Linked DNA regions of Neurospora crassa OR74A. The protein of the gene in region 2 purifies or fractionates together with the protein of the main gene of each other region. This does not show direct contact. Links are inferred from orthologs where the notes say so. Each region holds a gene or a part of one and is shown on either strand. Other genes may lie near its edges.

The links.
Region 1: the proteins of NCU09696 (region 2) and NCU03485 purify together in Saccharomyces cerevisiae (affinity purification with mass spectrometry; 5 studies listed by BioGRID, with this or other methods). This does not show direct contact. The link is inferred for Neurospora crassa OR74A from reciprocal best matches to the Saccharomyces cerevisiae genes SRP54 and SEC65.
Region 3: the proteins of NCU09696 (region 2) and NCU02405 purify together in Saccharomyces cerevisiae (affinity purification with mass spectrometry; 4 studies listed by BioGRID). This does not show direct contact. The link is inferred for Neurospora crassa OR74A from reciprocal best matches to the Saccharomyces cerevisiae genes SRP54 and SRP14.

What each region holds. Positions count from the first base shown.
Region 1 is NC_026502.1:523,877-527,379, reverse strand, and holds NCU03485 (signal recognition particle sec65 subunit), read right to left. Parts: upstream 2,121-3,503; 5' UTR 1,910-2,120; coding exon 809-1,909; 3' UTR 545-808; downstream 1-544. Other genes in the region: NCU03486 (hypothetical protein), read right to left, coding at 2,811-2,924, 2,980-3,503. UniProt on the Saccharomyces cerevisiae protein: Signal-recognition-particle (SRP) assembly has a crucial role in targeting secretory proteins to the rough endoplasmic reticulum (ER) membrane.
Region 2 is NC_026505.1:805,918-810,033, reverse strand, and holds NCU09696 (signal recognition particle protein), read right to left. Parts: upstream 2,849-4,116; 5' UTR 2,547-2,848; coding exon 2,469-2,546; intron 2,354-2,468; coding exon 896-2,353; 3' UTR 366-895; downstream 1-365.
Region 3 is NC_026507.1:2,612,532-2,615,831, reverse strand, and holds NCU02405 (hypothetical protein), read right to left. Parts: upstream 2,078-3,300; 5' UTR 1,924-2,077; coding exon 1,900-1,923; intron 1,818-1,899; coding exon 1,739-1,817; intron 1,567-1,738; coding exon 1,235-1,566; 3' UTR 635-1,234; downstream 1-634. Other genes in the region: NCU02406 (nuclear protein), read left to right, coding at 2,349-2,418, 2,508-3,300. UniProt on the Saccharomyces cerevisiae protein: Component of the signal recognition particle (SRP) complex, a ribonucleoprotein complex that mediates the cotranslational targeting of secretory and membrane proteins to the endoplasmic reticulum (ER).

The DNA.
Region 1 (3,503 bases), on a different chromosome or scaffold from region 2:
AAGGAGTTCTGGGAGTCGCCGCCGCCGCATTATCTTTGAGGTGAATCTCAGTCTCGGATACCACGAATAACCTCTTCAAATACTCAGCTGTTGATAACAGAGTGGCGTGGTAGAGACTGTATTCGTTGATGGGTTCAGGATTCTGATGGACTGAGTGAGGCGCATGAGGGAAGGACTAACCAAGGTGATTAGCGATGGGGAAGTACCTAGACTCCCACGTAGGATAAAGAGGAAAGGTGTTGGTTATTGGCGGAACTTACCATCGCTCATTGTGCTCAAAGACAACCAGGAAGTGTTCGGTTGTTGTAGTTTATAGTAGGCTCCCCGACTACCACCCTAAAGTTCGACGAATAAAAAAAGTAACAGGTAACTGTGAAGTTATTGCAAACACAGAAGCCGAAAAAAGCCCCGTGAGAGCAGATCCCGTTTCGAGTAAACAAAAACGAAAACTTAAAAAAAAAATTTGGGGTAACAAGAGCATCATGATCCTTCTTATCATATACCTCTACCTCTCTAAAAAAAAAAAAAAAAAAAAAAAAAAAAACCTCGACGGGCGGTAGCGGACTGATTTACCTAGGCTGTTAGCTGGTCTCATCTATTTTGTTTCGGACGAGCCGGCCACGGGGCTTCGTTAAAAAGTACATGGTATTATCGTTTTGGTAAACTGCTTTCTGCGGTCTACGCTGTTTGTTGTTCATTATGTTATACGGCAAAGCGGGAAAAAGGCTTGCTGGCAGGTTGAATCTTTCTCAATCATGAGCATCGCTCTCAACTCCTTTCACATCTTCCCACCCCTAGACTTAGCACCCTATTTCTTTCCCTTCCCCTTCTTCTTCCCCGCCGCCTCACTTCCACTCGCCCCCGGACTCGTCGCACCACTACCTCCCATCCCACCCATCCCCCCCAACATATTCGCCAACCCACCCAATCCTCCCATCCCTCCCATCCCCTGCAACAAGCTCGCCATATCCGGCATCCCACCCGCTCCCGCTCCCGCTCCTCCTCCTGGCATCCCCGGCATGCCCGGCATCCCACCAGGTCCCATCTCCTTCATCATATCCTTCAAGAAATTCTCACTGACCCCACCGCCCGTCATCGCCGGACTATAGTACGGCAACAGCTCACTCATCTTCCACCCCCTCGGCACCGCCGGCCTCGGCCACTTCTTGCCTTCCTCCAGCATTTCTCTAGGCGGGGGTCCCGCGCCCCTCACCACGACCCTCAGCGCCGGACTCTCGTCCGTCGTCGGGTGTTTCTTCAGATGCTCCGCCACGAGGATATACAAGTGGTGTTTATTCTTCAGCTTCCCATTCTCGCCATGCAGACGGATGAATTCCTTCAGGTTGACTTTGACGCGGCCCGGGTTGGCCCAGTCCTTGGGGTGCAGCTTGCCTGCCTCGAGAACGACGGAGAGGCGGAGCTGCGCGCAGGCGTTGACGATCTCGGTCGCTAGCGGGTTGGGAACAGCTAGCTCCTTGGATACGCGCCGGCCTTCGGCGCGCGAGCGCGTGGCGTCAAAGTAGCATGGGTACAGGCACTGGAAGGATTTGTAGGCCGAGTCGTCGGTGGTGGTTTGCATCTGGGGGTAGCCGGGGGGTTGGGTGTACTGTCGTTGTTGTTGTTGTTGGGAATATTGTGGGGGAGGGACTTGTCGTTGTTGAGCGGCGGCGGCAGCCTGGGCGGCCTGGGCAGCTTGGAATTGTTGGTGTTGCTTTTCGGCCTGCGCGCGGTGGGCGGCGGAGAGAGGGGTGAAGGAGGGCCCGGGCATGACTTTGGAGGCGTAGGCGGGAGGAGCGTCGCGCTGGACGAGAATGTCGGATTCGGCAAAGTCGTCAATGTCGCCCTCGGAGGGGTCGGACATTTCAAGGTCGCTGTCCTCGACTTCTTCTACCCGCGGGTGGGAAGGCATCTTGGCGGTTGTCTGTGACTGAGACTGTAGCTCTTGATCTTTGCTCGGTGGGTAGGTATTTTGGTGAAGTCAAACTCTGAATGCGCAAATACAGCTGAGGCGACTAGGTCTGTGATAATTATGGCAGGGGGGGGGGGAAGTGGAAGGTCGCGGTGGTTGAACAGATGAACCAACAGCTCCCCGTGAGTTGTTGGAGAAATGTGGGGTGGCCCGTCCAAGCTGTCGATGTGGTTTCAATTGAGTTGAGTGGGGTAGCCGGCCGGGGGAAATAAAGTGGGGTCCGTGCACACGGCTCCGGGCCGGCAACGAATTAGCGGCACCAACCGCCAACCTCGAGTCAACTTCACCAAGCATTTTCATGTCCAGGTGATACTTTGCGTTCTTATGAATATGCTTTTTCCAAAATAAATCTTGTGTTGATGCGTGTCATCTGTACCTCGCCATGCATTTAGTCGTTCTAATATTTGGCACATTTCGGAAGTGATCTCGTCCAAGTGTACTTGGAACAGGTATGTACTAAGCTAACAAACAAACTAGATTGTATTTTGTACGTCATGTTCCTCCGCTGTTTAGCATCCGCAAACAACAAACAACTCAAACTATCTCCTAAATTCTGACTCCTGATTTGAATAGACTAGAGAAATGATCAGTTCGCAAAAGGCAACAGCCACAGCAAGCCCCTGAGCGTGAAATCCGTTTCTTGGTGCCTTTCATCTCAGATGCCTCCTATTCGGACAGCTCGCCATCGCATTCCCTTCGCTGAGAAAGCCTCCTCTTCGATAAATTTCTTTTCCCAAACTCTTTTTGAGGAAACCCCCTTCATCAGATGGGTCTTCACTCGCAGACGCCCATCTTCTCCACACCGCGTCAGAGCTCCCCTTAAAGCTACGTCGTTCCCTGTTTAAGAGAAGTAGTCATAGGTCTTTGTGCTTCTGTACTTCGTGCCGGGCGGGTGATCGGCATCCTCAAATTTGCAATAAGGATGAGTGCAGACACCGTCCTTGACGTTGGGGCACTGTGATTACGGTCAGCACATAACCAGAACTCGAGGCATGATGAGTGAAACTTACGTGGTGTCCATAAATACAATCTTCGACATCGCAATCCTGGCCGCTGGTGCAAGGGTTCAAGCGGGCCAAGAAGGCAATAGCGTCAATCTCTTCTTTGCTAGGCTTATACTTGTGTTCGAAGCAGCAGGCGTCGCCCTTTGAACAGGGACCCCTTAGATAATGATTGTTGCAAAGTTTGTTGTTGTCCTTCCTTTTCTTGATACTTTCCAGAGCAGCTGGTGAGACCTTGATGGGCGGGTCCAAGCCACGAGGACCGGGGTTCCAGGCCGGCTGCTTCGGGGTGGCCGAGGCACGAGCATTTGCGTTCACAGGTCTAGGCTGGATAGGAAGCGTGATCTTGGGCGGAGGGCTCGCGTTTCCAATAGCTCCGGCATAACTAGCAGTTGCGTTCGCGGGCGTAGACGTGGTGGAGCTGGTGGGAGTCGGAAGATTGCCGTTGCTGACAGTAGGAGTGGTGGTAGATGAAGATGACGTGGTAATCAAGGGAGAAGTGTTGGTGCGCAGTGATGTCTTGTCTACCAGCT
Region 2 (4,116 bases):
TGGGCGCTTGAACCGGACTTAACGAACGAAATTCAGAGTCAAGTCCTCCTTCTATCATTTCTTCTCAGGGGTATCTCGGTTCTTCTCCCTCCTATCTCACCCCTTACCACTTGATCTTACGCTTCCGGTGGTTGGTGGGATGTGTTTATGAAGTGTGCATAAGCCCACACTGACTACAGTAGAAGCAGCCACGACTTTCGAATTTATACATCCCGAACTGTGCCGCCTGGTCCGTATTATATCAAGGGATATTTACCACTTGCCGTGCAAAGATTCGGTTGACTGCCAGCCCTATGAAGAAATCAGACATAAGCAAACCAACCGAGGGGGAAAGGACAGACGGTTGCCGAAAAAAATATCGAACTATAACGAACCAAAGAAATGGGACAGAATGAATTTATATAAAAGCGTCAAAAAGGAACAACAACGTAAGACTAATCGCAGGATCGCCGAAATAAGTGCCACGCGGTTGAGGCGTTCACGGGGTTCAAATGCCTCTGGCCCTCACTCATCGTCCTCATACCAAACAACGGTCACATTGAACGTCGCCTTAGAAGCAGCATTTGAGAATGTCTCCGGGTCTCGCTGTCATGGTCATGATTAAGGTAGATCGTGGATAATAATAAAAAGAGTTCCAGGTCTGTTTTGCTATATCATCCAACCGCATGTCCCCAAGCCAAGTCAAGTTTCCCGTTATTCGTTGTGTGTTGTTACAGTATATACTCCAGACGCCAGAATGATGCAAGCTCTTTTGCTGCTGCTACTGCCATGGAAAAAGAATTGAACGAAATGGACGAACCGACGACGACGCATTAGCAAGAAAAAGAACCGAACCCATTAAAAGTCGATCGACCGACTGACACACACCCTCTTTTTCTTTTTTTCCTTCAACCTTTTACCTCCTCCCACGTCCACCGCCACCTCCCATCAACCCGCTCATTTGTTTCATCATGGCATTCATGTCCATCCCACCCATACCACCACCGCCGCCCATGCCGCCAAGCATCTTCATCAGGCCGCCCATATCTTGGCCACCGCCGCCCATGCTCTGCAGACGCTTCTGCATGGCAGCCAGCTGTTGCGCCTTGTTGCCGCCTCCCATGGCGCTCTGGGCACGCTGCATGTTCTTCATGTTGCCGCCCATCTTCTTCGCCATGCCAGCCATCATGCGCTGCTGGGTAAGCAGGTCTTCGACCTCTCTGACCGTCGTGCCGGAACCCCTGGCAACACGCGTCATACGCGTCGGTTGGTCAATGAAGATTTTGCCGTCGCTGTCGAGTTCCTTGTCCGTCATGCTGTCGCAGATGTAGATCATGCGCTTGAGCTTGAGCGAGCCCTCCTCGTCGTCCATGTTCTGCATCATGTTGCTCATTCCTGGGATCATGCCAGCCATCTTGCTGAGGGGACCCATCTTCATGATGTTCTGCAGCTGGTCGCGCAGGTCGCGGATGGTGAAGATGCCCTCGGTGATGTGCTTGATGGTGTCCTTTTGGTCGAGCTTGAGGGACTGGACGTGCTCGACGAGGCCAGCCATGTCGCCCATGCCGAGGAGTTTGCTGATGAAGTTGTTGGGTACGAAACGCTCCAAATCGAGCATGTGCTCACCAGTACCGATGAAGACGATGGGGGTGTGGGTAGCAGCGACGGCCGAGATGGCACCACCACCCGCGGCGTGGCCATCGGTCTTGGTGATGATAATGGCACCAAAGTCGGCAGCCTCCTTGAAGGCCTTGGCTTGGGCTTCGGCTTGTTGACCGATAGAGGCATCGAGCACCATGATGGTCTCGTCTGGCTTGACTGCCGTCTGAATGTCCATCATTTCCTGGAAGAGCGCCTCCTCTTGCCTGTGACGACCCGACGTATCGACGATGATGATCTCGAACTTTTCCTTCTTGAACTTGTCCACACCATCGCGCGCCACCACGACGGGATCTGTTTCCGTCAAACTGCCGTAGTAGGGGATCTTGGCCTTGGTCGCGTTCTGCTTCAGCTGGTCGAAAGCACCGGCACGGAAGGTATCGGCGCAAACAAGACCGACGCGGAAACCGCGCGACTGGTAGTGTCTGGCGAGCTTTGTACATGTTGTCGTCTTACCAGCACCCTGGAGACCGACAAACATGATAACGTTGGACTTGCCCTTCTTTGGCTTGAAGGGCTCGGCATGGGGGTCGACGAGACGGACGAGTTCATCGAAGACGGCTTTCTGGATCAATCGCTTCTTGTTGACGGCCGGTGGTAGTTCTTTGAAGTTGACGGTGGATTTGATCGATTTGCGTAGTTGACCGACGAGACGGACGTTGACATCGGCTTCGAGAAGGGCAGAGCAGATCTCCTTGAGCATGCCATCGAAGGCCTGTTGATCATACGATGGTCAGCGATCTGGACTGGCTGACTGCTAGGGGATGTGACAGCATCAACCAAACGCAGTCCGGGGAAGACCAGACAACCGAACAGATATCCAAGCTTACCTTTTCGTCGAGGTTGGGGGCGCGTGTTAGGTCACTGACGGCCGCATTGATGCGGCGACCTAGATCTTGCAAAACCATGGCTGTTGATTATGTGGCGGCTATGAAGCCGACTAGGGGTATAAAGGTTGTGTTGTTTCTAGGAAATGGTCGTCGCCGTCTTGGTGTTCGAAGACGTGGGTAGTGTCTGCTCAGAGGTCGTTCAGCTGTGGGTAATTGGTGGGTGGTGGTAGTTGTTGCTCAGTCACAAGTGGAAGTGATGCGCTTCGGTCATCGGTCGGTGGCCACTCGGTGCTGTCTGGGGCTCTCTCTCTCTCTCTCTTGGTGGATCCCGTCGGGCATTGAAACGGACAACTGCCTCTGCAGTTGCTTGGCAAGCTCAGGGCAGGACCGCCGCGCGGACGGGCATCGGGGCCCGGGGACGATTGGCGGGCGGATTATGGTGGGGCAGTTCGCCGCTACCTCCATAGGCCTGCCTGACCCCACGGGCGGTGAGCAGGGCTTGGCGTTTGTCGAGGTTCTGGCCTTGGCGGTACATGGCAGTTGTCCGACGGCTGCCAAAGCGTTATCTGTATAAGTGATAAGCGATAAGCGAGGACAGGCAACTAATCACCGAAAGGGGGACATACCTCTTTAACAACCTACACGGTAGAAGAGAAGCACAGAAGACATGTCGGACAAGGAGAGGAAACATGTTCAAACCCCATGATCTAAACGGTCAAACAGTTCGTTGGTTCTATTACGAGCGTCATATCTATCCCACTCGGCCGGCACTTAGATTTCTCGAACCAGGAAACCCCACGAACACCTACTGCAACTCTGTCTTTTCTTGGCTCACAGTTGTTCTTCTGCAAAGTATGAAACGCTTCTCTGGCTTGTAGGCATAAAACTGAAATGCAGTGAGGTTCCTGCTGTGTGATCACGTTGTGTCTGAACGATCAGTTTATTAGGTAGGTATGCTGAGCTTCCTGCAGAATCGTGCTTGTTGCCAAGTTTAACGGTTAAACCGCCGAATTTGTCCTGATGAATACAACCACAATATTTAATCCACTGTCAGAGAGAGAGAGACAGAGAGAGAGAGAAAGAGAGAGAGAGAAGAGCGCGCGAAATTACACGGAAGCTTCTCGTTGGATAATGCACCATCGTGAACTGAAACATTTTAATCTGTGCGGATACATCTGACCTAGAATCGCGGCCAACAGCATTATCGCTCTCGGGTTTCCGACGTTGGTTTACTCAAGATGCTGTCGGTCGCAATGACTACTATAATGACTGGACGTGTAGGCAGCAGGTTACTAAAAGTGTGTCGTCTCGAACTTCGGGATCTCCGTTCCGAATCAATGCATGAACGGCATGCAGTGACACTCATTTTCTCTCCGTCTCTGTCTGTCTGTCTGTTTGTCTGTCTGTCTGTCTGTTCTGTCTGTCTGTTCTAGGTGTAGAAGTTCCTTCCAAGGTACAGGGGCATTTGAGGATCGCTTCCAGTCCTTCCAATCCTTCCCTGACCCCCCTCTGACCCTCAAACCCTTAATACCATCAATCGGAATGGATAAGCGTCATTCCCGTGTCTGTGTTTATGCTCGTATTTTTGAGACGCAGTATTGAAGGGACATTCTTCTTAAAGGGAACTGCGTTTCCATGTTTTTACCCT
Region 3 (3,300 bases), on a different chromosome or scaffold from region 2:
AGGAAGGAGATTGAGGAAGTTGAATTTGCGACATGCTTTACCTTGCCCAGTTCTAGCACATGGGACAAGTAAATCCCACTGAAACTTGTTGCTCTTTTTGCGGCTGACATTTGGCTCTTCGGCCTTTCTTTCAGCAAGTTGTTTACGGTTCGGACCCTCAAAATGGACAGTTGATCTTGTTTCACCTACATCCCCCCACCTTTAGACTGTACTCTTGAAGAGAACATGCAATTATCTCGGTTGACCTTAGGATTAAGGTCGAACATTGGAACTGCGACTCTTGGTAACCTGAATCAAAGCCAATCAAGGTGAAGCCAACGTGATGTGACGTGTTCGTGGTGTTTCATAATGGTGAATCGAGTGGAGAACGGGTGAGCCGGTTGCCCTTCAGCTGATGCTCATAAGTGCGGCTCAAATATATCTACGCTTGACGTCAGGGTACGGTAGCTGCTGCTCCACCCGGGCAGTCTTGTTATTTTACCAAATGAGAAATGTTAACTTTGCTAATAGGACCGTTTAGATCGAGTCACCTGGAGATACACGCTCTCCCGGTGATCAAGTTCACACCCAAGACAGGATCGTGAAGGCCAGCCAGCAGATTTGGAACAAGCATATGAACGTTATCAATTCGGCTCGCTCTTACTCTCCCCTTCGTTCAACAGCTTCTCTGTTGAGGCACAGCAGTCGTTCTCTCACGCTTCTTCCGTCACTCATTCATTTCATGTTCCTCTCTTTCCCTTCCATCTCCATTTCCACGAAGGGCCGCATACTTCCTGCGGCAGGACTGAACATTCTCCAGAACGGGCATATGATCCCTTTAGTTCGCACCTTTCATTAACTCCAGTAGCTCACGTAGATAGTAGATGTGCGCTGCACGCTAGATAGGCAGCTGAGCTTTTCATATTCCCCCTTCCCCCCCTCTCCCAACACCTTTTTTTTCTTCCCTTCCTTTCTCGCTAGTCGTCTTGAAGGGTAATACCAACTACGAGCAGGTGAGTCGAGAGGTAGGGTAACCGAGAGTGGCAGATTGAAGGCTATGATGCGGTACTACTCACCAACGCTTTCCTTACCATGCGTACCCACTGACTTGAACCAGGGTATTCCACCAAAGCTTGGGAATATTACAAAATTTAATACGGTACCCTCATACAGATCCCTCCTTCCGTTAGGTCATGTACACACAAGAAGACAGAAACAGCAATGGTGTAATTTGCAACGCTTGTTTCGAGTCCAATCAGGGAATAGCCATCATAGAAGTCCCACCAGCACCAACACCAGGACCTCCAGCGGCTGCAGGACCTGTCTTCTTCTTCCTCGACTGCTTTTTCCTCTTGGTCCTGTCTCTCGGCTTCAATGCCCCCATGCCCTTCTTGCAAACATCGGCGTACCTCCCGTAGAAGGTTTCCAGGTCGGCTGGCTCGACAATGGTGGACAGCTTGACCTTTTCTGTCCTCTTGTCCTTGCCCTTGGCGTTGGTGGCGCGGATGAGAACCGGGAGCGGGGTGGCAGGGTTGAGGTCAGTGAGAGGGTCGGTATCCGTGGATTGGGAAGGGGTGCTGTAGGATACTGTGGGAGGGTTAGCTTTGGTGACGGAGCTTCACTCTACTTAGCTCATCGTGGGTGGATGGAGATGGAGTTTAAGCTTGGAAAACAGCGGAAATTGGGAGGATTGTCGTGACGATAGCAAAGCCGAGTGTGAAGTTTCCTGTCTGCGCTGGGTTGGTGTAGGTACACGTACGCCTCTTTTGTACTAGGTTGATGGTTCCGTGATCTTGGTTCTTCCTATACTCGAACAGATTGGTGAGCTTGGAGAAGAACTATATACCATAGTCGGTTGAAGTCAGATTAGCATGGTCTCCTCAGGACGGGATCACAGCAGCCAGTCACATATAACATTACCTCATCGTGAGTTAAATGACCCATGATATCCAGTTGTTTTTCGTCTTCTTCTTATGCTCGTTTGCAAAAGGCAAGACAACAATTCGGCTGAGGAGTGAATGTGAAGGCAACCTAGAATGATTGATGAAAGTCAACGAGAGTGGCAGCTTTCCCCACTGCTGTTGGCCGGGCAGCTCCCGTCTGTCTGGTAGGAGTGAGCTTCCCCAGCGTAAAACCAGCCGGGTGGGGTCCCAAGCAGCGGAGGACCCGCTTCATCTCTTGGCGCTCTTGGCCCCGCAGTCGACATGCCTGGAACCCTGCACCGACCGATAACCAAAAAAACTATCTGATAACGATAGCAAGGTCCCGATCCCGCGCTCTTCCATGCAGCGACGGACGAGAGAGCCTTGCAAAGTTTGGAGGTCGTGCCAATCAATCACATCTACACCTCCGCACGCGCATATTACAACATGGCACCCTCCATGAGGATAAAGGCTCCAAAATTGCCTGACAACCTCCTGAAGGAGCTCGGCGTAGAAGGTGAGCGTGCCTCCGTTCATGCGCCCATACAGCCATTGTCATTCCTGCCTGGCAATCAGGGTTCTCCGACGAAATCCTAACTCTTGCAGGACAATCTCACGGAGGTCGCAAGAATCAATTTCAGTCTAGAAAGGATCGCCGTAAAGCAGAGAGAACACAGAAAAGGATTCACCGCACCTCGTCCACAAGAAGTTACCATACCGAGCGCGCTACAGCCCCAAAACCACAGAAGAAGGTCGATGCCGCATCGTCAAAGGAAGCAAAGGAACCCAAGCCCATCTTGAAGAACGGGAAGAAACGATCATTGGAGGATGAGGATGAAGATGTTGCCCTCGAAGAGGACGATGATGAGGATTTCGATGACGAGGGCGATATCGATCTTGACGAGGACGAGGACGATGAGCTAGACCTCGACGAAGAAGACGACAAAGACGGCGAAGACGTGGACGATGAAGAGGAAAGTGATGTCCCAACACAAACCATATCGAAGTCGCAGCCCAAAATCTCAAAAACTGTCATGGAACGATTGGCGCAAGACGACAAGGAGATCGCAGACCTCGAAAAGAAGCTCGGCATCAAGGGACGCAAATCGCTTCCCAAGTCCTTCCAGGAGGATGGTCTTCTTGATCTACTAGAAGGCCTTCCTGGCGTAGACGACGAAACAGCCGAGAAAAGGAAGCGGAAGTCCGAAGCGGATGAGTGGCTTGCGGCGAAAAGGAGGAAAGCGGAAGAGGCCAAGAAGACGAAGGAATTCGAACTAGACGAGGAAGAAAATGAAGTCTCCGAACTGGACGAAGAGGACGATGGCTTGGACGATCTCTTAGAGGGATTGAACTCGGACGAAGACAACGACGTTGACCAAGACGAAGACATGGTCGAAGG